4 linked regions of the Rattus norvegicus genome follow. The protein of the gene in region 1 interacts with the protein of each later gene in a pairwise test. Links are inferred from orthologs where the notes say so. Each region holds a gene or a part of one and is shown on either strand. Other genes may lie near its edges.

Evidence for each region.
Region 2: the proteins of Tbc1d22b (region 1) and Vps52 interact in binary tests that used the Homo sapiens proteins (3 or more experiments, as listed by UniProt). The link is inferred for Rattus norvegicus from reciprocal best matches to the Homo sapiens genes TBC1D22B and VPS52.
Region 3: the proteins of Tbc1d22b (region 1) and Deup1 interact in binary tests that used the Homo sapiens proteins (3 or more experiments, as listed by UniProt). The link is inferred for Rattus norvegicus from reciprocal best matches to the Homo sapiens genes TBC1D22B and DEUP1.
Region 4: the proteins of Tbc1d22b (region 1) and Hsd17b14 interact in binary tests that used the Homo sapiens proteins (3 or more experiments, as listed by UniProt). The link is inferred for Rattus norvegicus from reciprocal best matches to the Homo sapiens genes TBC1D22B and HSD17B14.

What each region holds. Positions count from the first base shown.
Region 1 is NC_086038.1:7,639,760-7,646,429, forward strand, and holds part of Tbc1d22b (TBC1 domain family member 22B), read left to right. Parts: intron 1-1,580; coding exon 1,581-1,760; intron 1,761-2,654; coding exon 2,655-2,725; intron 2,726-3,893; coding exon 3,894-4,022; intron 4,023-5,354; coding exon 5,355-5,420; intron 5,421-6,670. UniProt on the Homo sapiens protein: May act as a GTPase-activating protein for Rab family protein(s).
Region 2 is NC_086038.1:4,928,686-4,936,146, forward strand, and holds the start of Vps52 (vacuolar protein sorting-associated protein 52 homolog), read right to left. Parts: upstream 4,774-7,461; 5' UTR 4,652-4,773; coding exon 4,562-4,651; intron 4,032-4,561; coding exon 3,947-4,031; intron 3,383-3,946; coding exon 3,330-3,382; intron 3,188-3,329; coding exon 3,112-3,187; exon of another isoform or gene 3,110-3,111; intron 2,934-3,109; exon of another isoform or gene 2,931-2,933; coding exon 2,863-2,930; intron 2,604-2,862; coding exon 2,428-2,603; intron 1,868-2,427; coding exon 1,717-1,867; intron 1,442-1,716; exon of another isoform or gene 1,345-1,441; intron 1,113-1,344; coding exon 1,012-1,112; intron 916-1,011; coding exon 783-915; intron 690-782; coding exon 632-689; intron 81-631; coding exon 1-80. Other genes in the region: Rps18 (small ribosomal subunit protein uS13), read left to right, coding at 5,105-5,107, 5,575-5,673. UniProt on the Homo sapiens protein: Acts as a component of the GARP complex that is involved in retrograde transport from early and late endosomes to the trans-Golgi network (TGN).
Region 3 is NC_086026.1:20,680,561-20,687,230, forward strand, and holds part of Deup1 (deuterosome assembly protein 1), read right to left. Parts: intron 2,639-6,670; coding exon 2,444-2,638; intron 1,554-2,443; coding exon of another isoform or gene 1,506-1,553; exon of another isoform or gene 1,370-1,505; intron 1,130-1,369; coding exon 1,043-1,129; intron 219-1,042; coding exon of another isoform or gene 95-218; exon of another isoform or gene 81-94; intron 1-80. UniProt on the Homo sapiens protein: Key structural component of the deuterosome, a structure that promotes de novo centriole amplification in multiciliated cells.
Region 4 is NC_086019.1:105,162,725-105,170,178, reverse strand, and holds the start of Hsd17b14 (17-beta-hydroxysteroid dehydrogenase 14), read right to left. Parts: upstream 4,485-7,454; 5' UTR 4,419-4,484; coding exon 4,331-4,418; exon of another isoform or gene 3,535-4,330; coding exon 3,496-3,534; intron 3,379-3,495; coding exon 3,296-3,378; intron 2,368-3,295; coding exon 2,301-2,367; intron 911-2,300; coding exon 819-910; exon of another isoform or gene 1-818. Other genes in the region: Plekha4 (pleckstrin homology domain-containing family A member 4), read right to left, coding at 5,080-5,342, 5,442-5,554, 5,904-5,953. UniProt on the Homo sapiens protein: Catalyzes the NAD(+)-dependent oxidation of L-fucose, yielding L-fucono-1,5-lactone, which rapidly converts spontaneously to L-fucone-1,4-lactone. Can also act on D-arabinose and L-galactose, with lower catalytic efficiency. Does not use NADPH.

The sequences.
Region 1 (6,670 bases):
GTTTTGTTTTGTTTTTCTAATTTGGGAAGCTGGCCTCAGTTCCTGCTGAGGGAGATGGTGACTTTAGATGTCTGGGCACTTTCTGTGTACATTTTTAAGGACCCACTAGTGTTGCTTTACAAATAAACCGGCCACTCCGACCTGGGCAGGGAAGTGCCCTCCCTCATCCTAGCTACAGTTAATAAGCTCACAGGCCATGGGCATAAAGGACAGAGGATGTCAGAGCCTCAGAGGATCCTACCTCAGCTTCCCTAAGTTTCTTCAACAGCCTCAGACCTCACACAAGGCCATGCAGTTTGGCCGTGGAGTCTTCACTGAGATTCCCCCCTGTGTGTCTACTGAGACGGGCCCAGCTTGAACCCACAGTGCCAGTCTCAGACAGGCATTCAGCACTGATTGGCCAGGTGGCCTAAGCTATGGATGAGGTTCTCAATGTCAGGAAGGCCCCTGCCTCGATCCCTGCAGGCTGCCCTGTGCAGCCAGGCCCCCCACGTGTCCCCCTGTGGAGGTTCCTTCTGCACATCTGCCTGTAAACAGCTGATGCCGGAGATGCCCATCTGCCTAAGTTTATTGCATGCATTCTGCATTTTCTCAGCCCCACTTGTCACCGTAGGCATCCCAGTCAGGTGCCTTATGGCGGCTGTCGCAAGCTTCTGCAGTGCTGGCCTGTGGAATATATTCATTTTAGGTATTGAGGAACATGACCCAGCCCTAGCAGGGCAGTCCCTGAAACAGTTTTCTTTGTGGCAGCTCATTCTGAAGGGCGCTGGAGTCAGACAGCCTGGAGGCCCCCCTCCACCGCCCCAGTTTCTCAAGTTCCTAGGCTGACTTTGTTCTTCTGTAAAGTCACTAAAACTTTTAGCAGGTGTCGTAAGGGATCATGGGAGCTCATGCTGAAATGGCGGGCACGGCCCCCTCTAGGTGGCAGGCACCAGCTGAGTTAGACCATCTACAGTGGAACAGAGTCCAGCTTCCCCTGCTTTGGTGGTAGCAGCAGAATTCAAAGCTGCTTCATTTGTGTGAGGAACATGGAGCAGAGGAGCTGGCTACTTGGCACGGGGTTGCCTGAGGCCAGAGCTTCCTATACACCTTGAAGGGCTCCTGTGGGCCAAGTGCAGGCCAAGGTTGAGCCTGGCTGTGAGGGCAGCCATGTGCCTAGCCAGAGGGTTGTACACAGGGCCACGGCCTAGCCCTCCACACTCTGCTTTAGCTGTCACGGCCTAGCCCTCCACACTCTGCTTTAGCTCTGTGGCTACCGCACTCACCAGGTTAAGGCAGCTTAAGATCCAGGGTAGGATAGAAAGTTTCGTCTCCCTTGGTGTTACCACGTACATTCTTAGAAGTCACAGCGACATCTGGGGTCAGCTGGCCACAGTTGCCCTCTGTGGTACAGGTGCAGTCCCTCTGTTTGGAAGCAGAGCCCTGCGGACCTCATTGTCTCACTGTTTCTCAGCTCCAGCCTCAGGAGTGCCACAGGCTCAGGTCCCGCCCCGGAGAAAGCACTGCACAGTCTGCGCAGACCTGGGGCATCTGACGGCGACCTTCCTATGTAGGTCTTTCTCCTTTTCAAATCCCTTCAGGTGACACGTGCCTGAGGAACACACTCCACAAACAACAGTCTCTCCCTCTCCGGCCCATCATCCCCCTCGTCGCCCGGATCTCAGACCAGAATGCTTCTGGGGCCCCTCCAATGACAGTCCGGGAGAAAACCCGCCTCGAAAAGTTCCGCCAGCTGCTTTCAAGCCACAACACTGACTTAGGTGCGTTCCCCAGGGCCCTGGGCAGAGTTAGGCACTGTGGTGACTGGTTCTCAGAGGTCGGACATATCTACCGGCTTCCTTCTTTTGCTTGTCCTAGTCAGGTGCCAGAGCAGCGATGCACAGAGTTTAGTCAGAAGCCTGTTGTCGGACATTAGGGACTAGAGTGAATGGGGCCTGCAGACCGTGGGGCGCCCGTGCCAGCGCTGTCTGCTGCCTCCAGGAGTTCTCACAGAAGTCCACGCCTGCATGCACCAGCGTTTACTTACTGGGCCCAGGTTACCTGGCGGGGCCTCTGAGAAAGGGATCTTGACCAGGTCAGGTTGGAGGGAACACAGCAAGACTGAGCTGTAACAAGTTTATTGGGAGCAAATCAGACGGTTTTATATGTTTATCAGAACCAGAATACAGCGGTGGTCGCCAGGATACAGTGACGTTTGCCAGGTATACAGGACACACAAGATTAATGTCTAAGACCAATTGTCCTGTCAAACTTGCGTATGCCTCGCTGACTTGTAGGGAGTGCAGAGGAGCGCAGGCGGCCTGAGTGCTGCCCTGCCCGAGGGAATGCCTCGGTTTCTCAGGAACTGGACAGCACATGGTGCCCCAGGAGTCTCGGACTCCAACATGAAAAACCTATGACGCATACCTCTCTAGGCAGCTAGACCAGGACAGCTCTATGGTTCCCCCACATACACCCACAGCTTCTCTGAGCCAAAGGCTGCTGTAGGTGCCCTGGGCACCCTGCCGCTGGAGGCTGTGGCATGGAGCCTTTCTTGGCTTGTCTTATCAATGGTGGTGGTGGTGAGTGTATTTGGTGGTAGGAGGCACCTGGCCAAGGTTGGTTTCAGGCCCTTGCAGAAGGACCTGGTTCAGTGAGGCTGTCTATGTTTGTAGATGAACTGAGGAAGTGGAGCTGGCCAGGCGTTCCCAGGGAAGTTCGACCAGTGACCTGGAGACTGCTGTCGGTGAGTTCCAACCATCATGAGGAGATGTGTGGGCCTCAGACAGCCCTCTGCCTGCCAAGGTTGGTCTGATGCCATAGACTCCTCTAGTGCTGCCTGGCACAGCTGTGGGGCTGTGTCCAAAGGACACGTCCTTGAGAGTTTGTTCTCGCACCCACAGGTGAGTGTATTCCACGGCTATGTGTGGAGAAGGCCAGGAGCTGGCTCCCATGGTCACAGTGTCACTTTCTTAACTGTGGGGAGGGATCTAGCAGGACAGGAGGGTCCCAGCACTGGCTTTGAGCAGGCATCATCAACACTCCTGACAGCGTTTGGAAATCCGTCTCCCAGCTTCATGCGAAGACTCAGTCCGTGGGCCTCTCAGAAGCTGCTCTTTCTCTCCCACACTCAGCATTGTAGAGCTCCTGCTTTGGGGCGCTTCCCTCTGGGCCTCTGAGCTCTGCCCATTCACCCAGTAAGGGTTTTCAGAGGCCCAGGGCCAGGTGCTGGGTGCGTACCCCAGATCAAACAGTAACCCCCTCCCCACATCACCGTGCCAATTCTCCAGCCACCCACTAAGGAGAACACTACGTAAAAGCCTTTGAGAGGAAGGGCACACGTGTTGTCACTGTCCCCTGGCCCTGGTCTTACAGCCGTGCAGTTGGTGCCTCGGCCACTCCTAGTAAATTCAGATGTGCTCAGAATGCATTAGGCAAGCCGAAAAGGGACAGGAGGTTTAGGAAGAAGAATGGCTGTTCAGGCTGCCAGAGTTCTGTGCCGGTCTCTCGACTGCCAAGGCCCAGACTCCCTCAGCTTGCTGAGCTGATGGCTCCCAGTGTTACACGGGGAGAAAATGTGTGATCTGTACCAGGAAGTGTCTCAGGAGTTTCCAGATCCTGTAATTCCCTGGGAGGCTGTGACTCGGGTCCAGCTCCCTACTGCTGACTTGTATGTAGTTACTGCTCAGTGGTGTCAGCCCTGGGCGTGGGACCAAAGCAGTGTGCAGGCTGGGAGAGCTGGCTTGCTTCTTCTGCTATCCAGAAGAGGTCGAGTGCAAGGGGCGGGGCGGGGGCTGAACCCAAGAACACCTGCTTGGTCCTCTTGGCCTTCCTGTTCTGTGCTGGGATGGTTTCCAAGTCACCGTTCAGGCTGAAGTGAGAACTCACCCTCTGACAGGCTCTGTCGCCTTTAGGGCTATCTCCCGGCAAACACCGAGCGGCGCAAGCTGACCCTGCAGCGGAAGCGGGAGGAGTACTTTGGCTTCATTGAGCAGTATTATGACTCTCGGAATGAAGAGCACCACCAGGACACCTACAGACAGGTGTGACGTCAGGGAGCTGTGCTCCTGGAGCCTCTTGTGCAGGGAGGGGAGAGACGGACGTCCTGTGTGTTTTGCGGCCCCTCCCTCTTCTTATCCAGTGGCTTTGACTTTGCAATTAAAAAATAGAACTTACCCTGGATGTGCGTGTGTGCAGGTGTGTGAGTGTGTGTGTGCGTGGTCAGGAGTGAGTGAGTGAGTGTGCATGTGCATGCATGTGTGCAGGTGGACGTGTGTGTGCATGTGTGTTCATGCGGGTGGGCGTGTGAGTGTGCATGTATGTGTGTGAGTGTGTGCATGTGCCTGTGTCTGTGTGTATGTGGGAGTTGAGGGACCCAAGGGGTACTGGATCCTTGGAACTGGAGTAGAGACTGTTGTGAGCTATGATGTGAGACCAAACTCAGGTCCCCAGGAGGAACAGCCTGTCCTCTTAGCTGCTGAGCCAGCTCCTGATTCATTTTATTTTCTCCCTCCTGGGACAGGGTTTTACTCTGTCGTTTAGATCGGAAGTCTCGTAGCTCAGGCTGATTTGAACTCGCCTCAGTCTCCTGACTGCTGGGCTTACAGGTGCTTCCAGTGCCCTTGGAAAGGTGTGGTTTTTAGCAGTAGTCAGTGGTGTTGCTTCTCATGTTTCATGTGTGCACAAATCACCCACACATATGCAAGTGTACATACATGTATACACACAGATACACACATACACATGTGTACATGGATGTACACACATGCACAGATATGCACACATATACATACACATGTGTACAAACATGTACACACTGCATGCATGCATACACACACACACACACACACACACACACACACACACACACACACACACATGCCCACCCATGCCTTGGATTACCAATAGGTGCAGGTCTTGAGGTGAGGCCCACACATCTAACACGCTCCCTGGTAGTGTTGCTGTTTGGCCACAGGCCGTCCTCTGAGGACTAAAGACCATGGGACCCCACAGGAAAGGCAGGAAGTTTGTCAATGGTCGGGTCCCTCTGGACTTTAGCATCAGTGCATGCCTGTGGCTGCTTCAGAGCCCATTCAGCACTCACTGCCTGCAGAAATGTCTCCTGGCCGCCCCATAGCAGGAGGAGAGTGTCCTCTGGGGAGACACCTGTCTGGCTGACTAAGCGGCTTATTTGGGGGTGTTTCCTCTGTGAGCAGTGGCTAACCTGGGCTCATACTCTTCCTGGGTGGGTCTAGCTGGGCTTTGTGCATATTCTGTCTGTCTGTCCCTCTAAAGCTAAGCTGTGTTCTAAGTGTTTCTGAGTGTGCTGCCTTAGACACCTGCCTTAAATCTGGGCCGTGGTTTCTGTTTTTCAGATTCACATTGACATTCCAAGGACGAACCCTCTCATTCCCTTGTTCCAGCAGCCGCTCGTCCAGGAGGTGAGTGGGTGGGTTCCTCAGTGTCCCATCCTCCTCCTGCCCAGTGGCACCTGCTTGGTACCCCGTGTCCACACGTGGCATTTTGGGACAGGGCATTTCCTCACGCCTTGTCCTCCACCCTTTATAACAAGACTGGGTACCAAGTAGTGCTTTGCCTGAGGCTCGAGCAGAAAGAATCCTTTGGTCAAACTCCTGTCCCTGGGCTCGTTCTGCTTTTTCACAGCGGGGGTGGTGACTTGTTTTTCTAATTGTGATAAAATATCCGTAGCATGAGTTTGCCCTACTCTTCTTCCTGGTCTTATGAACAGTGGCTGCTTACTAGTTCCTGGCTGAGTGGCTTACATGCATTTGAGTGTTCTGTGAGCACCACCTCTGTTTCCAGAAACTTTCCTTTTCCCACACTTAAATTTAGTGCCCATAAATAACAACCCCCTTTCCTGCCACCACCTTTCTACTTTTTGCCTGTGGCCATGACCGCTCTAAATACCTCAGATAAGGAAGCTTATACAGTATTTGTCATTTGGTGTCTGACTTAATTCACAGTGTCAGAAGTCCCTTCATTAAGTTGTTTTTTTTTTTTAAATATTTATTTCATATGACTACACTATAGCTGTCTTCAGACACATCAGAAGAACTGGATCCCATTACAGATGGTTGTGAGCCACCATGTGGTTGCTGGGAATTGAACTCAGGACCTCTGGAAGAGCAGTCAGTGCTCTAACCGCTGAGCCATCTCTCCAGCCCCCAAGATGTTTTTATCACATTGATATATTTATATTGTGGAGGGCATGGCATGGTGTGTGTGGTGAGAGGATCTCCAACAGGAATTGGCTTTCTCCTTCCACTGTGTGGGTCCTGGTCATCAGTCTTGTCAAATAGGCACCTTTACCAGCTGAGCCACCCCCTCGCCTTGATTTTATAAACCTTCCATTGTCATTGCTAATTCTCCACCAAATGGAAACTGGACAGGCGGGTTGCTTGTCTCTCTAGGCTGTGGGATTATGCTGTAGTGAGCATGGTTGTGTCTGAATACGCTGTAGACCCTGTTTTCAATCCTTTTGGAACTAAGTCCAGGAGTGACACTGGTAGTGATGTTGTAAGACCTCAAGCTAATGACACACGTGGAAGGCCCCAGTGGGACCGTTAGCTTGACTTGAGAGGGGGACGCTCGCTCGTGAGACCAGCAGCTTCCTGAGGAGTTCTGCTGCAGCCGTGATGTGGAATGTCAGTGCTTTCGAAAGTCTTTCAGC
Region 2 (7,461 bases), about 2.7 Mb from region 1:
GGCCGGTGAGATGACAGCACCACGGGTGCCCAGGGTAAAGATGGTGTTCCTGCTTCGCAGGGACGGCTTCGAGAAGAATCGTGAGCCACATCCGCGTCAGGGAAAAAAACGAGATGGACAGCACTAGGCCCAACAAGCCAAGGCCTGAGGATCCCAAGAAGCTAAATAAGGCCTGGAAGGCCTTTTCCAGAACCAGAGCCTTGCTTCTCCTGACACTGATAATGGCTGTCGAGGCTTCCCAAACCCTCTGAAATAAATGTGAAAAACTGTCAGAATGGCATGTGCTTCTTAGAGAGGAAGCTCTGGCTTTCACATCCTCAAAGGTGTGAACACAGAACAGGTAAAAAAAACACAGCCCTGGACTGTTAAGAGCACTGACTGCTCTTCCAGAGGTCCTGAGTTCAATTCCCAGCAACCACATGGTGGCTCACAACCATCTGTAATGGGATCCAATGCCCTCTTCTGGTGCGTCTGAAGACAGCTACAGTGTACTTATAAAAAAAAAAAAAAAAAGAAAGAAAGAAAAAGAAAAAGAAAAAGAAATGGAAGGAAGGAAAAGAAGATAGCTCTGCATGCTGGAGCTGGACGTCCCCGCCGTGAGCCCGGTGTGAGGCTCCCCTCTAAAGGATATCTTTCTTTGCTGTGTCTTCTACACCCATTAGATCGTCTTTCTCAGCAACTTCCTCGTACTAGAGAAAACAACAGAGAGCTGAGCCATCACTCTCCACATCCCCCCCAGCCCCCCCAGCCTCCCCCCTCCCCCCGTCTCTGGCCTGGCCCACCTGCACTTTCATGAGCCGCCCCACGTACGAGCGGTAGTATGACAGGTAGATCTTGCTCAGCGTCTCTACGTACTCATCCCTGACCTCCTTGGCTGTAGCACGCTCGTTGCCCAGCAGAAACTGATAGAAAAACCTGGAAGGACCGGGGTGAGTCAGACACCCTGGATGCCCACGCTGGAGGCTGAGAGGCTCGCTCATGGTCACCCTGTGCCCATCCCGGGGGGGCCACCTGTACTTCAGCAGGGCCGTCTGGGGGATCTGATAGTTGGTCATCGGCTTTCGGAACGAGTAAATCTTCTGGAGAATGAACTCACGGATCTTTGTCACCGCCTGGATGTGGGGTACAGACAGGCCGTGAGGTGGGAAGTGAGAGAGGGGACACAGGAGAAAATAAAGGTAAGGGAAGAATACTTCATTAGTGCTCTGGTTATGGAAACAGGGTCTCTCTGAGCAGCCCTTGCTGGCCGGGGACTCACAGAGGTCTGCCTGCCTCTGCCTCCTGAATGCTGGGGGTGAGTGCATCGCCATGCTGGCCTTATTTTTTCAGGGCTTTTTGTTTTGTTTAAATATGGAAGGCTTTATAAATTTCATGTTATCCCACAGGGGCCATGCTAATCTTCTCTGTGTTGTTCTAATTTTAGTACCCGCACTGCCAGTGCAAGCACTGCTTGTTCTGAGATGGCGTCTCACTCATGTATCTGGGGCCTGGCCCCAGACTCCGTTTCTTCTTCACCTCCTGAGTGCTAGGACGACAGACTCGTGCCATCCTGCCAACGCAGGAGGCACTGGGGATGGAACCTAGGGTTGTGTGCTTTACCAATGGAGCCACACTGCAAGCCTCCTTTGATTTTCAGGGGAGGACTGACACTGACACTACATAGCGGGAAGCAATGTGGAGCTCTTGGGAAGCTGACTGTAAGCAGCCGCTCCCCACCTTGACCCGGAGCCGGTCGAGCACGCCTCTGACGTCTGCACAGGCGGCCGTGCCTCTCGCCTCCTGCTCTCTGACCGCAGCCGCCTTGGCGTCCAGCTCCTGGAGCTGCTCCAGGAACCTGGGCTCTGTCACTGGAGCTTCGAGAATTGCTCTGGGGAGCAAGGGAGGATGGGAGTGGTTAGATGGAAGGACTCAACAGCTCCCGCACACCTCACGTGTCATTCTGGCCTTTCTCTGTGGTCTCATGCCTCCATGACGTATGTACAAAGTCTTCAACTCCTGAGCCACACCTCCTCACGTGGCCCTGGATCACTCCTAACCTGTGCCCCATCCGTGTCCCATCCGTGTCCCATCCTGTGGTGGCCAAAGCAGGCTTAGGAGTTTTAACCCATCCATGAATTCCTGTAATTTTTTTTTTCCGGAGCTGGGGACCGAACCCAGGGCCTTGCAGCGCTCTACCACTGAGCTAAATCCCCAACCCCAACATTTTTTTTTTTTAAACAAGATCTCACTCTATAGCCCAGTCTGGTCTACTTGCAGCAATCCTCCTGCCTCAGCCTCCCAAGCATGTGATTATGGGCATGAGCAGGCACACCTGGTTTCTACGTGGTACTGACAACCCCAGCCGGGAGACCTATGTGGTAAACTGGGTAGGTAACCCAGCCCAGCCACCTGCTCTGGACTTGAAGACCCTTCAAACCAGTGACTCACGTGACCAGAGCAGAGGGCACCACTAGCCCATCGACGAGTTCCCCAAGTTTCCCCCGAACTGCCTGCCGGTTACGAAGTCGGATGTTCATGGCCCCCGACTGCTCCTGCAGGGTGCGGATCTCACAGCTGATGGAGCTGAGGTCGCTCTGAAAAGCTCCCAGCATCTGCTCCATGCGCTGCAGGGAGGGCAGAAAACACTGTGGGTGTGACTCCCGGTTGGTGGGAAATGGGGCAAGTGTACGACCCAAGTCTCTGAACGAATGAGCCGGTATCCGGCAACCCAGGAGGTGGGAGATCTTCACTTGTCCAAGGGGGACAAAAAAAAAGAAAGAAAGAAAGAAAGAGAGAGAGAGAGAGAGAGAGAGAGAGAGAGAAAGAAAGACAGAGCAGAAGGCAATTAGGTCCGGTCTTGGACAACAGGTTAGGGCCACCAACCTCTAGGACGGCATCACAGGCTGTGATCTGATTGTGCAGAGAGGCTATGTTTTCACTCTCTTGGATGTCTGACCCACAAAAGTCAAGGGCTTCACACTGAACGCATAGCTCTGTGGGTCTGCAGTACCTGCCCCCAGGTTCTCCCCAAGGTGACCGAAACCTGAGAGAGACGCCCTCCCCTGTGGAGGCTACCTGCATCACACATCCCCATGCCGGTAACACCCATCTGTTTCCTCTGCTGGAGGATACAGTCCCGGATTGACTTCTGCTCAATCTGCTGCAGCTCTAGCTCCACCTGCTTTGAATAGTGTCGAAGATCCACACCCTGGGGGAAATGACAAAGTCAGGAAGAAGTCACAGTGGGAGGACCCCAGAACAGACTCGGTGACTGGCTGGAGGGGAGCCACCAAGGTGAGGCGACAGCAAGAGTCAGGGAAGGTGGGGATCAGCGGAGTGGGGATCCTCACCGTTTTGAGAGCTTCCTTCACTAACTCGTCTTCCAGATTTGCCTGGATGTGAACTGGAGACAAGTTTATCATTAAGGGGTCCCCTTGCCACACCTCCCTCTGCCCACACTGGGCTCCTGCACACAACGCCAATCTCCCCTTTCCTCCAGGACAGTTATAGGCACAGTTGCTTTGCCTGGTGGGACTTTCTTCTGTTTCAGCTCCTCTTCATCTACTCAACCACAGATCAAAAGGATTACGTGGGAATTTCCAAAGGAGGTTACCTCTCACTTGGCCTTGGATGTGAAACACCTTTGCTCTGTTGATCTATGACAAGTGCTGTGCCTACCTCTCGATCGCTCGGTCTTAGCTGGCTGCACACTTATGTTCAAACGGGCTTTATTTTTTACTTAATAATCATCCCAAATAGCAAAAAGGGATGCAGCAAATTCATTACAGTGTATTGCTATCAATTCTTACTGAGCTGAAATTAGAGGTTAAACCTTCTCAACTCATAGATTAAACTTTGTACGTCCATTAAGAAGAAGACCATAGAGGGCCATCTACTGGGGGGTCATGTAATCTATTCCTAAAGAACAAAAGGGTCTACTTTGCCCCCACCCCATGTCACCACTTACCATCCACTTCATCCAAGATGAATTCATCAGAGGTGATATCCAACTCCCCGAGTTGTAGGGGCTCTTGGAGTCCAGAACCAGCCCCCTGAAGAGGGACGGGTTAATGAATGTGGGATACAAAAAGAGACGTTGGAAACAAAATAAAACCGGATATCCCTAATCCCGCAAGTGAGGTGAGGGGTGCTTTGTGGGGGAGGGGTTGCCCAGAGGCTAACATTGTCAGCTTACAGTGTTTACCCATGTGTCAGGTGCACCCTTAAACATACTCATTTGGCTAATCCTAACGACCACCTACAAGGCAGGTCCTATTAACGTTGTCACCGAAAACAGCATCGCCTTCAAGTGATGCGGCTGGAAATGGGACCCAGGCAATCCGGTTCCAGAGGCCACGTTCTTAATCTTATACACTATGTTCTCATTTCTACTAAAAAAGCGTGAACAAGAAAGTGACATTGTGTCCCTGGGACTTGAGTTTCAGCCACTTGGGTCCCTACGAAGGCTTGGTCACCATCACCCTTAGCAGGACGAGCCTTGTGTCTGAACCCAGCCTACGACTTCCTGAGGAAAAGGACGACCTGACGACACTCCGGAGGACAAACAGCCCCGTGCTCTCACCAGCGGGCCCTCCTCCTCCTCCATATCTGAAGCGCCGGCCCGCAACACCAGCTCCCGGGCAGCAGCCGCCATGGTCGCCGCGGCTGCCATTCCCCCGCAGCCTCACTTCCGGCAGCTGTCAGTCTCTGAGAGTCCGTTTCCCGAAGCAAAGCCACAAGTCCTGGAACGTCTTCTACGGAGCAACAAAAGGTTCCCAGATAGTTGAGCTAACGTGATTGGCTCCAGAGTCCCGTTAGGCTTTGATCACTTCGGTCCGGTGCAAACGGGAAGGTGAACGTCTTGAACACAACCCTGCTCCGGAACCTTTCGCTCCTCGGCCGCACAAGAACCCTACGACGCCAAAGAAGACCGAACCGGAAGTTATAGCTCCTGTCCTATGCAAACCAACTCCTCCCTTAGGGAGAGGCCGGGAGAGAAGCAGTTTCCGGAAGCGGTCCTCCGGGATAGCCCCGCCTCTTCCTCCAGGAAGCTATATAAGAACTACACGTCACTTCCGCTCTCTCTTCCACAGGAGGCCTACACGCCGCCGCTTGTGCCGCCGCCATGGTAAGAGCGGAATCAGCGCCGAGATCCGGCGACATCGGAGCCGGGGCAGGGAGAGTTTTCCGTCAGGGCTCAGAGAATGCCCTGTGCTGCGGGTCTGCAGCCTCCCCTGAAGCGATGGAGCGCGACCGGGGAGGGGACGACCTAAGACGTGAAATTCCAGGGAGCAGGGACCCTATGAAGGGTCACTCCCCGGACACACCAAAGTTGCCAGGAGCTTGGCTGCTGTGTAGGGTCCTCCGGACCCCCCTCCTCAGGGTTCTTGGGGCGGCGGCCAACGTTCACCCTCAATGTCAAAGGTTGCGTTTTCCCGCGCCCGAGCGCGTTTGGCGCGTGTGATGGTCACAGGTGACTGAGGAGTTGTGTAAGAACTTAGGAGGAGGAGGCGCTCCCTGGATTCCATCCCCCCGCCACGGCGACCTTCTCGGTTTGGGGGTTGCCTGTCTTTGATAATTGCCCGTGTTCTTTAGTCCCTAGTGATCCCCGAGAAGTTTCAGCACATCCTGCGAGTACTCAACACCAACATCGATGGGCGGCGGAAAATAGCCTTCGCTATCACTGCCATTAAGGTAAAAGTGTCAGGGGGCAGAGAGTAGCAACTAAACTCGCCTGACCCGTACAAGGTTAAACCAAAACACTGCTCCAGGGGAAGTGAGGCGCGCCTGTGGTCCGGCCCCACCTTGCTAAGGTTCCCCTACGTCTTCAGCTTATGAGATCGTGCTAGAGCGTTCTCCGCGGCCAGCAAGCCTTGGGGTAGGGTTCCTGCCAACCAACGTACATCATGGAAGGTGGTGATGTGTCGGGGTGGTCTAGGGAAGATGCAGGTGCCACAGTGGAAGGAAGGTGACACGGTTGAGATAGAAGCTGGTTTCTGGCAGAAAACCAAATGGTAGGTGGAGGCCAGAATGTTTCTCTTTGCAGAGCTAAAAGTCTTCCAGAGAGGGACGTAACTTTTGTCGAGGTTCGTAATTCGAGGACTGGCACGATGCTGGTCAGAAGTCTGTGTTCTCCTTGAGGGCAAGAACTAGACCTGTCCGGTGGGTTCCTGTGGGATGTTAGGATGTGAATGGAACTGGGGTGACTGCAGGGTTCAGAGAAGCTTCAAGGAAACTGCTTCAGTTTTTATGTGATGGATGAAGGAGGCCTAGGTAGCTGAGGGGGTGTCAAATGGACATTAAGTCAGAGTAAATCTTTAAGGTCCTTGCCATATTTACTAATTTAAATTCTGCACTTTGGGGGACAGTTATAGTGGGGGGAGGGTGCCGGGTATGGTGACAAGAACATGATGTCTAGGAGGTTGAAAGGCTGTTGTGGTGCTTCTGCTGTGCTTGGCCTATCTTTGTACACTGAGCATCTTGGGGGATGACTACAGTTCATATATAGTGCAGACAAGGTGAATCGAGGCGCCAATGGAGCCTGGGTATTGAGGGTTCACTTGATCTCAGGAGCATCTGTAGTGAGAGGTGAAGCTTGGGGCAAAGGATCCTTCAATCCCAGCCCTCTGGAGGCAGAGGCAGGCAGATGTATGAGCTGGGGGCCAGCCTGGTCTATAAAGTTCCAGGGCAGCCAGGGTTACACGGGGAAAAGCACCCTTCCAAAACAGATGAAGCTTGTTGGGAGTTGTGGGGGGTGATTGTGGGGTGGGCTCCTCCAGAAGTGATTAGGGTGAAGGACTGGAAGTTTTCTGTATTCCTTAAGACTTGTTCTCTGTTTCTCACTGAAGGTGAGGAATTCAATGTTTAGGAGCATATAGGAAGGGGTTGGACAGACAGAAGGACCGACTGCCCTTACCCGGAAGGCATTCTAGTACTGTTCTTCCAAACTGCTTTAAATATTAAAAGTCAGTTCTTTTATAATTTGAATAAGTGCTTCGGGAGTCAGAAAGCAAGCTGGCCTCGAGCCATAAAGCTCTGTCGTCCCTTGCCTTGTCACGATAACCAACCTGGCATCATGACCTGTTGTACTCACCTTTTACCGTGTGGAGGCTGAGGTGGGGGTGGTGAAGGTTTTTGCCTCCATGTCTTTTTTTTTTTTTTTTCCCCTTTCGGAGCTGGGAACCGAACCCAGGGCCTTGCGCTTGCTAGGCAAGCGCTTTACCACTGAGCTAAATCCCCAGCCCCTTGCCTCCATGCCTGTGGAAGCCAAACGCGTGACTAAGATCCTCTCTAATCAGGAGTTAAGAGTGCTTGGTGTTGAACCCAGGTCCTGGAAGAGCAGCCAGTGCATGGAGCCATTTCTCCAGCTGCTACAATGGCGTCCACTTCTCAGGGTTAGGGGGCAGAGTAACACCCACTCTCAAAAAAAAAAAAACAAAAAACCCTACATTCCTAAAGGCTTGGCTTTGTTCATTTGATGGG
Region 3 (6,670 bases), on another chromosome or scaffold:
TGTATATGTACAAATATATCTATCTTCATGGAGCGGGGGTTCATTTTTGTGTCCCACGATAAGGAAGGAGAAGGCAGAGGTGACGGGTAGGTTTTTAATGTAGCACATAGGGAGACCAGCAAGCTTCCCTTTTATCCATCTGTGCTCCAATCACAGGATCCACAGCCATGCTCAAGGAAGAAGGGAGAGTGCTTCCAGATGCTTCTACTGTCTTGATGCTGGAATACGGACTCATGTGAGAACAGGTGCACAACACGACAGACGTAGAACATTGGCTTCAGAAGGGGCTGGCCAAGCCTCGACCTGCTTCTCATTATTACGGCTAAAGGAACAGGCTAGCTGAAGCAGCCATGGTGCCCAATTTTTTTATGTTACCTTTCTGTTCCTTGAACAGTTAAAAAAAATAATGGCAGGACTTTTCTCTAAGTGAATGAAAGAAAATACAACAAATAATGCTAATATTTCAATTTTCTACCAACAAGAGTTCTTCTACAAAATCCAACCATCGACTGCTAGACAATGGAGGTGAGAGGCTTGGAGCCATTTAAGTTGTTTATGAGAACAGGTAGAGTCAGGGTCTAATTCATATATTCGGTTAACAAACACTGTTGGCTTGCTCTATCCTGAGCTGTTGGTCATGCCAACTTCCTGATTGTCATCAAGTTGAAAGAGACAAGCCACAAAACAAGTCAGCCAAATATAAATCAAACAAGAACGGAACAAATCATTCTGATTCGGATTTGAGGGGAGGGTTTCTCTGAGCATAAGGTTGGCACCCAATTCCGGCTGTCGAGGATATAGGGTTTCAAGCAATTGCAGGATTAAAAGCTAGGAAACTGCATGCTTTGCATGTTTGAGAAATGATCAGAAATGAGCCCAAACCAGGGGTCCGAGCCTGGGCAAGCCACTGCGGTAGGCAGTGCAGTAGGCAGTGCGCAGCTCGGCGCTCCTGGCGCGCATGCTCAGTGACCACACTGATGATCCGCCCTGACCAGCCAAGCTACCTCCTGTTCAGTTTGGGGGAATGAATTCAGCGCATTACCAAGTACCGTGCAGGGTCTAAGTCTCCCATCATTCCCTTCAGGTGTGTGTTTTCTGTTCTGACAGCTTTGTATCTTCTGTCTGAGATCTGAAAGATTAGCAGATAAAAGGCATGTGTAAAACTCGCGATGGGAGCTCGTCATCTTCATTAACTCTGTCCAGGTGGGTGCAAATCCTTTCTGTGGCGTGGAGGAAAACATCCACCCTCCCACCACTTGGGTTCTCTTCCTCCCCCACCAACTTCCTGTTTGAGCAGTGCTAAATCTGAAACACTTAAATATTTACTTTTCCCTACCAAGTCTGAAATTCCATTTCTCACATACAGGAATTATAATCACAATGAAGAAAACTTCTCGAAAATCCTCTTGTCCGTTGCACTTCTTCAATGCCCAGTTAACGTTTACAGTAAGCGTACATGGCTTTAATCCGCTCCTTCTGGTGTTCTGGCTTGCTCCCTTGTGTGCCTATGACTTGCTTCTGTAGCTCTTTCTTCTTTCCCTGGTGTCATCTACCTGAATGTTGGGATGACAGATTCGTGCCCCCATACCTGGCTCATTACTATACGAAACCCTTGCTTTAAACATATTTACGTTTGTGAATTAGAAGATACATGCTCACTGACAAAGTCCGGGAAAGATGGCAGTATGAAAACGAAAGGGGTCGTTCTTGCAGCTGCCCCTGACTGCAAGGCGCCCTGAGGTGCGCGAAGTGCCCTGTGCTGGCTTTCCGTGTGTGTGGTACAAACTGGTCAGTCTGCGGCCCATAACGTGATGAAGGCCCAATCTTTTCTGTTTTTGTACATACACGAGATTGAACTGCTCTTATGGAAATTGTCTCGATTCATGTTTTGTGCTCTGAAATCACCTACATTTAGAGTGAAAGGGCCGTAAAGCCTGTGCTGTCAAAGCAGGCTAACATTATTAGAGAGCAAGGAAACAGAAGGAATAGGGAGGATGGCAGGAGCGAGCATCCCTTGCAGGGTTTTAACGTGGAACTCAAGATCTCTGCTGCATGCTGAGTGGATGTTTAGTGATTTTTATGTTGTTTTCTCCGTGTTTAAAACACGACAATGTGTTAAATGGAGAGAGGGGCAGGATCTTCGAGCAACCTGGAATTGCTCTCTAAAAAACAGTTTAATGGAAAGGTCCTATAGCAAATGACTGAGGAAGGTACAGGGCAGTGCGATGTGCAAAGACAGCTGCAGGAGAACCTCGGCAAGCAACCGATCACTCATGTGTGCGCTGTCTGCTAGGTCCCTAGTGTTTCTTTGATGGTACTTTTTGTCCACGGCTCAGGGTTTTATGGGACAAGTCGCCAAGGCTTTTGACAGACCTAGGGCGAGGCTAGGATGAACATGGGCAGGAGCCAGCCCTGGAGAGTGCTCTCCTGTACGTATACATACCTGTTGCTTTGCTAACATTTTTTCTTTTATTTCTAATTCTATCTTTAGCTGTCTTTCCAGAAGGGCAGCTTTCTTCATGATGGTTGCTATAGTGACCTCCTTCTGGTGAAGTTCCTGGGTGAGTTCGGAGATCTCGTTCCTCATCCGTTCCTGTTCGGAGCACAGGTCTTCCTCCTGATAGAGCTGGCTTCTCATCTGGTGAGAGCGAGCAGAGACGTGAGCAGCCCCTCCCTCACAGCGCAGCTGCAGCGTGTGCTGGGCTCCCAAGAATACCTGTGGCCCATGACGGCCTACTTCTGATCATTGCTAACTGACAAGGGGCACCCTAAGTTAGTTTCCTTCCAACCCCAGATACCTCACCATTGTCATGTGCAGTGTCCCTACTGACTCAGCTTTCTGACAGACTTGACAGAAATTGCTACTTAGTGATTTATTGTGTTTTGAGGCAGGGTCTACGTGCACACCCAGACTGGGCTATCTTTGGCTCCTCATGCTCTGGCCTCTGGGCTCATGGGTGTACAGCACAAAGTCTGGTCATCATCTATGGAGAAACAGTGGCCTAAGGAGGGTAAGCATCTTGCTGGAGTCATAGGAAGAGAAAGTGCCAGATTCTAGACCGAAACTCATGGTCCTTGGCTATATTTACATATTTTTTAAACAATAAAAGAAGCGTAAATTCTGCTGGCAGCGGTGACTCCACACTATGTCTCAGAACCATATTGTAACACACGAAGCTTAATGTGGTGGTAGGAATGTCTTACTGGCCTCTTGTAACCCCTTGGAGTCTCTCATCATCTTTGCTAGTTTTCTCATAGCAGAAACTTTTGGACCTGGGCTCCTTACCACCCTCACCTTTCCAAATGCAGGCGGCAGCAGTCCAGGGCAACCCCCTCAGGCCCTCTGCTCTCTATCCCCATTGCTCATACCACACTGCACCCCCTACCCCGGCATCCTTTTAAAGACACGACCACTTCTCCTCCCTTAGAAAAACGAACATATTTATATCACAGGGTTGTAGTTGCGTGTGAGGGATGTCCTGGAGGGTGCCTAACCCAGCTGGTCTGGGGGTGTGATTTGTATCAGTCTGGTCTTCTCAGAGGAGAGGTTATCACACAAAATACTGAGGAGAAGATGCAAGCCAGCCAGGATGCAGCCAAGGGTAGGGACCAGAGAGCCATGTGCACTGAGGGAGCTTGGTGTGTTCTGACCAACTGTGCCCTAAGAAATAAGGCCAGAGAGGGAAGTCAAGAAAATCCACAAAGAAACTTCTATGAATGTATTCAGAAACTTAAAAGGTGACAGGAGACTGTATTTTCTCTTTAAAAGCCCAGTGTACATGTCTAAAGGAATAAGGGTCTCACCCCTCCTTTCTGTCTTTCCTCTTTCTTCCCGGAACCCATGCTAGCATCTTAATGACTAGTTCTTCCATATCACCAAACAATTTCAGGCAGAATTCAGATGTGAAATTGTCCCAAATCTCCAATGCTCAAGTCTATAAAGCTGGATTAGGATCTCACCATGCCAGCTCCCTTTCTAGCCACTCTTTGTCTCTGTTTGGTCTTTTCCTTTAATCTCTAGTTACAGTCCTCACGAAAGGCAGTCACTTTCTAGAACCTCGCCCCCATCCATCTTGGGTTATACCCTGGGACAGCCAGGTTCAGGATTGGCACCTGAGGAAAGGTGACCTAATGCCGAGTAGCTGCTTTCAGAGGCCAATCTGCTGGATCCCAGGCTGGGTCCCATCCACTCCTTATCTGTTCCTGCTCTAATTGTTAAGGCTAGAAATGTGTCTTAGACACCACATGGTCTTGACTTTGCCATTCAGCAAACAGGAACCAGGAGCTAGTTTCTAGCTCCCCAAATCAAGAGTCTCAGAGAGGGGTGCTAACCCCAGTATCTGTTATGGGTCTCTTTAAATTACATGTGTTTATATGTGCACGTGCATGCCACGGCACATGTGTGCAGGTTCGGAGAACTCACAGGTGTTGGGTCCTTCCTCTACCTTGAGTCTTGGGGATGGGACTCAGGTTATCAGGCTTAGCTGCAAGCCCCTCTATCTTCTGGCCACCTTGCTCACTCCCTCAGAATCTCTTTGATCCCCACTCCCCTCCATTTTCCCTCCTGGCAGTTTCTTTGGTGAACCAGCCATATCATTCTACAGTTTGACAGTCTGGATTTTATGGTTCATGTCCCTGTGGTAAACTTCAACACCAGCCTCTTAAGGATGAAACTGGGAAAATTAAGAAAATAAATATGCTATTCTGAAAGAGGATTAAATTTTTATTAGTTTACAGTGGTTAGATATTGAAACAATGTGCTCTTCCACAGAACGTGTTTCTTAATGAGATTTACTTATCTGTGCTTCCAATGACGTGGCTTTTTTTAAATGTGAATTTTATCACAAAATAAGTGAGTAAAAACAGCTCTGTACCCACAAAAGAAAAGCCACGCCCAAGGTTCATAGCACATGGCCCTCGATAGTGTTAGCACAGTGGAGTGGAAATGTTCTTTGCAGATACTTCTGGGAGCTGCAGCCAGCTAGTCCAGCCGTCCACCACCACCCTGCAAAGGGCAGTGCCTCTCCTTCACCTTGGTCTCACTCACACAGGATTCCTGACTTTACTCTGCAGTTCTGAGTTTGTCAGAAGCCTCGGAGGTCTAGAAGCATGTAGTCATATATGGCATTAGACACTCCCTTTTACTGTGACTCAGTCTCATGGAGTGTCAGCAAAAAGCAGCTTTTGAAAGTTTATATATTTGTTTTTCGAGACAGGGTTTCTCTGTGTAGCCCTGGCTGTCCTGGAACTCACTTTGTAGAGCAGGCTGACCTCATATTCATAGAGATCTGCCTACTTCTGGCTCCCAAATACTTGAATTAGAGGCATGGGCCACCACTGTCCAGCTGAAAGTTACATTTTTAAAACAGCAAAATCAGTGGGATTCTGTGGTATCAGTGTTCGAAAGAGGGAGGAAGTGACAATTGCTCTATAACACATTTCTTAGGCTGGACTGCATTCATTCTTTTTTTTTTTTTTTCTTGGTTCTTTTTTTCGGAGCTGGGGACCGAACCCAGGGCCTTGCGCTTCCTAGGCAAGCGCTCTACCACTGAGCTAAATCCCCAACCCCGACTGCATTCATTCTTAGATACCCATCTCTGCCAGGATCTGCCTTTAAGGGGATGAAGGGTAGAGTCAGGGTCTTGCTATGTAGCCTAGGATGGCTTCAGACTTGTGGCAATCCTCCTGCCTCAACCCCTACAAGTATTAGGATTGTTTGTGTGAATTACTACACCTAGTTAAGATCTTTCCTTCCAATGCATTCCTATTGAGACTGACAACATAATTACTAGGGAGGTATATTGGTTATAGAAGAATGAAGAACGCAGGGCTCTGTAAGAACCAAGCCCAGACCCTCCTCACCTCCTCATCTTAGGCTTTTAGCTCCTGGCAAAGTGCTTGGCCTTTGCTAGGCTCTTAGTTAGAAATGTAGGTGTGGCCCAAACCATCAGTAGCTCACATCTGTGAGGTGATCCTCTAGGTCCTGTTCTCAGTATGTAATTTGCATTAGCTTGAATTTCAACAGAGGTAGTCTCTGGGGTGACAGAGCCTACATTCAAAACTAGTGTCTACCAATTATTATCTGTGTAAAGTTGAATCTCTTCAGCTTCTCTGTGTCTTAGTTTTTTAAAGGTGAAAAGAGGATGCTATAGGATCTACTTTGTAAGATGTTAAATCCTTGGGGCAGTGTCCCTGGCGCATGAGAGTGTCAGCAGGTATCAGCTCATTTCACACCTGTCATCACCTCAGGGTGGTGGAAGTTGTATATTTCCTCTGAGTTGAATCGTTCCCTCTTGTACAGAACGCAGCGCTCATAAAGCTCAGGAAAATAACAACACATTGCAAGGGAAGGCTCGAGAAGCCCATGCACTGTTGTAAGCAGTCAATGGTTGCTGAGACCAGGGACTGCAGTGAGCGGCTGCCAGGAGCCCGAGGATCAGTTTCTGTGATGTGTGACTCTTCCTTCATGGGCTTTTCAGTAATGCAGCTACCTTTGAATCACACATGATGCTGTAAGCACACACACACACACACACACACACACACACAGCCTCCTTCTGACAATGGGAAACTCATTGGTTTACCAAATGAGCCTTGAGTACAATTCTTCTTTGGCCTATAGTCAGTGCTCCATTTGGAGTGACAGACATTTGTTCATGCTTCCCAAGGA
Region 4 (7,454 bases), on another chromosome or scaffold:
CCATCTCCACCCAATCCACACATGCACACCTATTGGCAGCAGCAACTATTCTGTCTGTCTCATAAGCCATGACCGTCACACCGGCTTCCTTTCCTTTCTCTCTGTGTAGCCAAGGTTGACCTTGAGCTCCTGATCTCCCTCCACTTCCTGAGTGCCGGGATCACAGGTTGCACCATCATGCTTACTTAGTGCTGGAACTCCAGCTGCATCCTGCTGAGCCCTAGCCACGACTTCCGGTTCTTTCTTCCTTTTTCTTTTTTTTTTTTTTTTAAGGCAGGGTTTCTCTGCGTGACCCTGGTTGTCCCGAAACTCTCTCTGTAGACCAAGCTAGCCTGGGACTCAGAGATCTGCCTGCCTCCTGAGTGCTGGGGTTAAAGGCCTGTGCCACCACAGCCTAGTTCACTTTGGATTCTCTTAGCATCCTCTTTGCTACCTCCAAGCAGGCTGGAAAGCTCTGGAAGATTGCGAGGAGGGTGTAACTTCCCAGGTGGATGAAGACTGGCAGTGTCCTTCTAGATCCTGATTCTCCACCTTCCTGATGCTGCCACCCTCCTGTCGTGGTGGTGACCCCCACCCCCAACCATAAACTTATCTCTGTCGCTACTTCACAACTGCAGGTATGGATCTCAGCGTAGATAACCATGCTTTCCGGTTGTCTTAGGCAAGCCCTGTGAAGGGATCTTCAATTCCCAAAGGGAAATTGAACCTCGGATTGAGAACCGCTATACTGTAATAAGGACAGGAAGCCAAGGGGCACAAAGCGATGTGCTCCGGATGAACTGAAGGGCACACAGCAACTGCAGCTCTGCCTGTCTCACCTTGATCAAGGTGTATGCCCCCAGGAGGTTCTCCTCCAGCAGCTGGCGGAAGCCCTGGGCAGAGGTCTCCTCTGGCAACTGTGCAGGTGGGTCTAAAGAGAAGAAGAGGATGAGGCCGGGGCAGGAAGGTGGGAGGGAGGAAGGGAGGGAGGGCAGGGACGATGGGGTCGGAGAGGAGGCCAAGGGTGAGGGAGAAAGCTAAGGATGGCGGCCACACAGTGCTGAGTGCAGCTGAATGCTGACTGCAGAACGGGGTAAGCTAGCCAGTGCCTGTCATTCTAGGGCTCATGGGGGATTGTGGGTAAGTGCTCTGCAGCCAGACCTCAGCTGGTCTCTGTTCTCCTCACTGTGGAATGCGAATTTCCCTGCTTAGATACCACTCCCCACAAGGGAATTTGGTAGGTGTTGTCAACATCAGCCTAAGGAAAGAAGGACCCAGGTAAGGATGAGCGACCAGCAACCCTGAGTCCTTACTGTGATGTGAAGTAAAGCAGCTAAGACTGGGAGCCCAGCTGGCCGGGGACAGTCCTCTGACCCCAACTTTGGAAGATATTCAAGAGGGCCCCGGTGGGTGTTCCCTGAGCCCTTGTTGCCATGGGGACACATTGTTCTCTGGTGCAGCTGTTGGGCTGATGAAAATTTCCCAGAGTGCCACACTACCTAGTGTCTGATAAAGCGTGTCTGGGTTGTCCTTGTCACCAACAAGGCCCAGGGCCACCAGCCATCAGCAAGGCAGGAGCTCCCCCAGGCTCTGGGACTATCGTGAAGGACAGTATAACCTCCTGTGACAAGCACACAGCAAAGAAAGTGAGACTGAGGCCGGGCTGAGCTCTGTGTTAAGGAAGGCTGCAGAGAGATGGTTCAGTGGTTTAGAGCATGGCTGCTGGTCCAGAGAACTAGGTTCAACTCCCAGCACCCACATGGTGGCTCAGAACTGCCTGTAACTCCAGTTGCAGGGGATCCAACTCCTTCTGGTCTCTGTGGGCACCAGTCATGCAAGGGGAGAACAGACATACATGCAAGTGTAAACACACACACACACACACACACACACACATGTGCGCGCACGCGGGAGGCAGAGGGCTATGTGTCCTGAGGAAGGGGTAAACTGAGGTTCAGAGGAAGGATTGGGCTGTTGAAATGGCTCAACTGTACCTTTACACTTGTGCCAAGCCTGATAACCTGAACTCAATCCCACATGGCCGAAGGAGAGAACTGATTCCCTCTTGTTGCACTGAACACCAGAGAAGTACTTACTGTGCATGAGAGTGCGAGTGCTTGTGCAAGCACACGCTTACACACATGCACATCGATAGACAGATAGATAATAGATAGACAGATAGATAAATAATAGATAGATAATAGATAGATAGATAGATAGATAGATAGATAGATAGATAGGGCAATAATTTTTAAGAGAGGAATGGGGAAGAGGGTATAAGTAGATGTCAGGGACACTGGCCTCCAAACCACACAACTTACGGTAGCCGGCATTATTCACCACACAATCCAGGTGACCAAATCGAGAGACAGTCTCAGAAATCAGAGTCTGAGGAGAGAAGAAAGAGCAGGTGATGAGCTGAGAGGTGACAGCCTTGGAAAAGCCAGGAGGCCCAAGGCAAGGATGGGCTCAGCTAAGGAAGACAGGGTAGGGTGAGGTGGAAGGGGACCAGGGCCACAGAATAGGTCTAGAAAGAGAGGAGGATGCAGGAAGTCGAGGACCCAGACTAAAAGGACTGATCCACACAGCACAGTTGCCACTTGTCACAGCGTTCCTATTGCTGTGATAAGCACCATGACCAAAAGCAACCTGGAGAGGAGATGATTAATGTCTGCCTACAGCTCCCAGGTCATATCTATCACTGAGGGAAGCCAGGACAGGGACTCAGAGCAGAAGCTCAAGGCTGGGACTGAAGCAGAGGCTGTGGACGAACACTGTTCGCTGGCTTGTTCCCATGCCTCGTCCAGCCCCTTTTCTTAGACTATCCAGGACCACCTGCCCTGCAATGTCACAACCCCCAGGGAGCTGGGGAAACTCCCACATCAACCACTAATTAATTAAGTGACCAACAGGCTTGCCCACATGCCAATTTGGTGGGGCCATTTTCTAGTGAGATTCCCTCTTCCCAATGACTCTAGCTTGTGTCCAGTCGATTTAACACTAACCAGCACACCATTTTAGAAGACTTCGGAGGGGTGTGTGTGCAGAAGACAGAGCCTCAGAAGGAGAGTCTACAGACCCGAGTGCAGTGGGGAGCAGAGAGACAAAGAAAGACAGAGGCCCAGATAGGAGCTAGACCTGGAAACACATAAGAGATTCTGAGTGCCAGGAAGTCAGAAACTTGTTACAGGAGCCAAGAGTTCAAGTCCTGATCATTCCTAAAGACCTGAGAGAGAAGAGGGCAGAAGGACGGAGGTGACAAGGGCATGGATACCCAGAGGGACTGGCGATGGAGTGTGGGACAGAAAACACTGACCTGTAAATCTCCTTCCTGAGTCACGTCACCGGGGATGAAGACAGTGCCCAAGAGTTCCTGCTCCACAGCCCGGCCCCCAGCCTCTGCAAGAGAAAGATTCTGGGTCCGAGGGAGGAGGCTTAGGAATGTGGGTCTGAGGGAGGAGAGCTATGCAGAGATCATTGATGAGGCAAGGGAGAGATGAACACTGATTCACTCACCATCCTTGTCACAGAAAACCACTTGAGCCCCACTGTCCACTGCCAACAGAAAGAGAACGATGTTACCTGCCCTGCAGACTTGCGTCACTGCCTCTGCTGCCCTCTTGTGGCCACCAGAGCACCTGCCTCTCTGGCGGCTCTCGTGATTGTCTCTCTCACAAGATTGTCTCCACTCACAAGAGCAACAAATTACCCTTCCTCATTAAGCCACTGCTTGGCCCCCATCCTGGATTCTAGAAAAATCCAAAACCTACAAACAATAAAACACACAAAGCTATCATTTGCAGCTAGGGACCCATCTGGGGAAGAACTTTTTTTTTTTTTTTTTTTTTTTTTTGGATTTTTGAGATAGAGTTGCTCTGTGTAGCCCTGGCTGTCCTGGAACTCACTCTCCTGGCTGGCCTCAAACTCAGAGATCCACCTGCCTCTGCCTCCCAAGTGCTGGGATTGTAGGCATATACCACCACTGCCAGGCCAGTGGAAGAACTTTTAATGACCGACCTATCAACAAAGACCCAACAATCCAAATGGATTCATGTAAGAATGAAACGGAGGGACCAGAGAAATGGCTCAGCGGTTAAGAGCACTGGCTGCTTTTCCAAAGGACACAGGTTCAGTTCCCACCGTCCACATGGCAGCTCACAACTGTTTATAACTCCGGTTAGGAGGGATCTGACAACCTCACCCAGGTACAACGACAACGCACAGAGAAAATTAAAAACAAACAAATCATTAAAGAAATGAACCTGAGTCTCCTCCTCCCACTGTGGGAGCCTCTGCCAGCCGCTCTTTCTCTCCTACAATTCAGGCAGCAGGCGGGAAGACCCTTACTCACCGAAGGCTCTCACGATCGCAGCCCCGATGCCCCGACTGCCCCCAGTCACCACCACCACCTTCCCAGAATATCGGCCTACTGCAGCCATTCCCAGCTATCTCGCTCGTGTCCCACACCCTCTGGGCCTCTTCCCACCTTTAAAGTCCAGAGAAGCGGGGGAGTGGAACCAGATATACAGGCTGGGTCACTGAAGGCTGACCCTGGCAGGGGGAGTTCCCAGGAAGGCACACCTAGGAGAACTGAGGACTCTCCTTCCTAGCCCTCTTTCTCAGACCCAGGGTCCCCACCCGTGATGATCCTCCTTCAGACCCAGGGATCCCCATCCTGACACTCCTCTTCCAGGCTCAGGGACCCCCACCCCAGCTCTGCCCCCTCAGACTGACTCTAGCCCTGCTCCCTTTGACTTGTAAGACCAGCACCACTTCTGCCTTGACTCAGGATCCAGACTCCAACCTCCTCCCTCAGACCCATATTTTAAGATGTAGCCCCCCAATGTCCTGTGAATCCAAGGCCCTGACGCTTGTTTGTCAGAACACAATGTCACAACCACAGAGAGAATAAAGCTATTTATTGACTAGTTCAAAGTTTTAATCCAAGTTCGGACAGTGTTGGGATAATCAATCTTTGACCATCATAGCCCCGGCCCTCCTAGAACACAGGCTGAAATGAACCTCTCCCCTGTGGTCCTGAATGGTCCCACACCTCAAGGTTGTGCTTCCAGCCTTTAGCACCCAGTGCAAAGGCAGGAGTCAAAAGCTGGACTGCAGCAGAGTGACTCTCAGGGGCCATGCCCCCTCTTCCTGGGCCAGAGCTGGAGGGGCCTTCCCAGGGTCCCACCTGGGCTCCCACGGAGCCAGGCCTCTCCCACTCCCTTGGCATGAGAACCCTGTGGTAGCCGAGTTAGCCTTGTGAGAAGTTGGGGACGAGGTGACCTGGGGCAGCTCTTCACTGGGAGGCTGTGGACTTGGCTGGAGACAGTCTCCCCTGGTGTCCAAATTTCTCTCTGGAGAGGCTAAACGGAGAATGAGAAAAGTGTTAACTTAAACGTGTAAAGTCCAAACTTCCAGGCCTCCTTCCTCAGATGCGGGGGTTCAGAGCCTGGGCACCTCACCTGTCATCAGCCTGTGCCACTGGGAAGCCTCTGTAGCAAGAGCTTGGGAGAGGCTGAGCACTCGTTCCCGGTGGCCTCCAGACACGGGTGAGTAGGTTGTGGAGTGCCTAGGACTACAGAAAATAAGCCACGTGTCAAACAGGCCACCGAGGCTCCCGGGGAGTTCTTCCTAGCTTTTATCTAGAGGACGTTAAGCACAGGCTTTGTTACCAGTAGACCAGCAGGGAGGTCACCATTACTGGATGAACAGCTGGATCTGATTCAGGCCACAAGAGCTCTGCAGTCTCTGACCCACCACCAGGGGCTTCCTGGCTTTTTTGTAGTTACCTCGGGAACTCAAGGGACTCAGAAGTTCTGGGGACTTGTTTGGTACACAGGAAACTATAATAACACCACTGCTCCCCTGTCTGCATCAAGAATTGACCCCCCCACCCCATTGCAGCTCCCACTCTAGATCCATACCTACTCCATGACCCGGAACTCCTGAGCCATTTCGCAGCTCCTACAATAGGCTGGAAAGGAATTATTGGTTACAATTCTTGTCATGGAGAATGGTCACAAGTTCAAGGGCAGCCTTGATGGAAAGAACAGAGGAGAGCGGGGTAGGGAAAGGAAGGGAGAGGGCAAGAAAAGAAAGAAAGGGGCTATGGGTGGGGAGGATAGATTTTGCCATTGAAGCCCGTTTTCTCTCCATCCCTTTCTCCTTGGCCCCCTTCTCCCCACCAACCTACATGCAGATACTAGGAAGTTCAGAGGACAACAGGAAGTGCCCCCCACCAATCCTCTGCTCTCAGCAAGTCGGCCAGACTAGCTGACCCCTGAGCTTCCAGGGATTCACTATCTCCATTCTCTGACTCAGTGCCTTGGGGATCACAGACATTCACTGACAGCCGAGTCTTTATACATGGGTTCTGAAACCCCCAAGCCTATCCCTGAGCACCTCCTGGGTCCCCCCACTGCTCCCAGCCAGGTTCTTATGACATTCAGATTGCCTTCTGACTCGTTATATGGGTGCAGATGGCCTCCGTCTCCTCAGTATCAGGAGCTGGGCAGCAGCTCCACTGGCCTCCTACTTATGTTTATGGTGATGTTAGGGGGACTGGGAGTGAAGTAGCCTTGGAGAACATCAGGCTCGCAAAGTCAAGTCCACGTCTACAGCTTGTTGTCTACTTCCCTACAAAGGCTTCTCTGACTTGGATATAAATATCTCCCAAAGGTTTATGTGTCACAAGGTTTGGTCGCCAGCCCTTGATGCTGCCGAGATGTGACTGGACTGTGACGGTGTTTGTCTGACCAATGAATTAACCAACAGGTGAGTGACAGGACACTGGCCTGGACTATTAGGCCTGACTCCCAGGTCTGAGTCAGGCTACGTCTCCCTGAAGTTCATGATTCAGTAGTCAGTGCAGTGTCTTGACAGCTTACAACGCATGGTACCTGGCTTCCCCATCCTCCTTGTCACATGGGCTACACGGATCTAAATCACTCTGCCCAATCTGAAATTTTCCATCTGAAATTTTCCATAGGCTCTCCACAGCCATAACATGTCAGACCTTTGCTTTGTTGGGGAAAAAAAAAAAAAAGAGTCTGAGATTCCTCAATGGGACCCACTCTGAGAGGTGCTCTGAGGCTGCTCTCGGAAGGGCTCCTCTGGCCAGCCTCCCGTCATTCCTCTCAGGGTGCCTCTCTCCCTCCCTTTCTCTCTCTCTTAATGAAGTCTTGCCTTCCCTCTAAGGCCCCACCATGGTTAGGTCCACACATGGCCTCGAGGCTCTTTCCCTATCAACTTCATTGATGAGGTTATTAATAGACGTTTTCTCTCCCTCAGTCATGTGGATACAGGCCAGATTAGACCAGATTAAAAGCAGGCAAAGTGAGTTCAAATCCCAGAAACCACATGGTGGCTCACAACCATCTGTAATGGGACCCGATGCCCTCTTCCGGTGTGTCTGAAGGCAGCTACAGTGTACTCATAACAAATAAATAAATAAATAAATAAATAAATAAATAAAT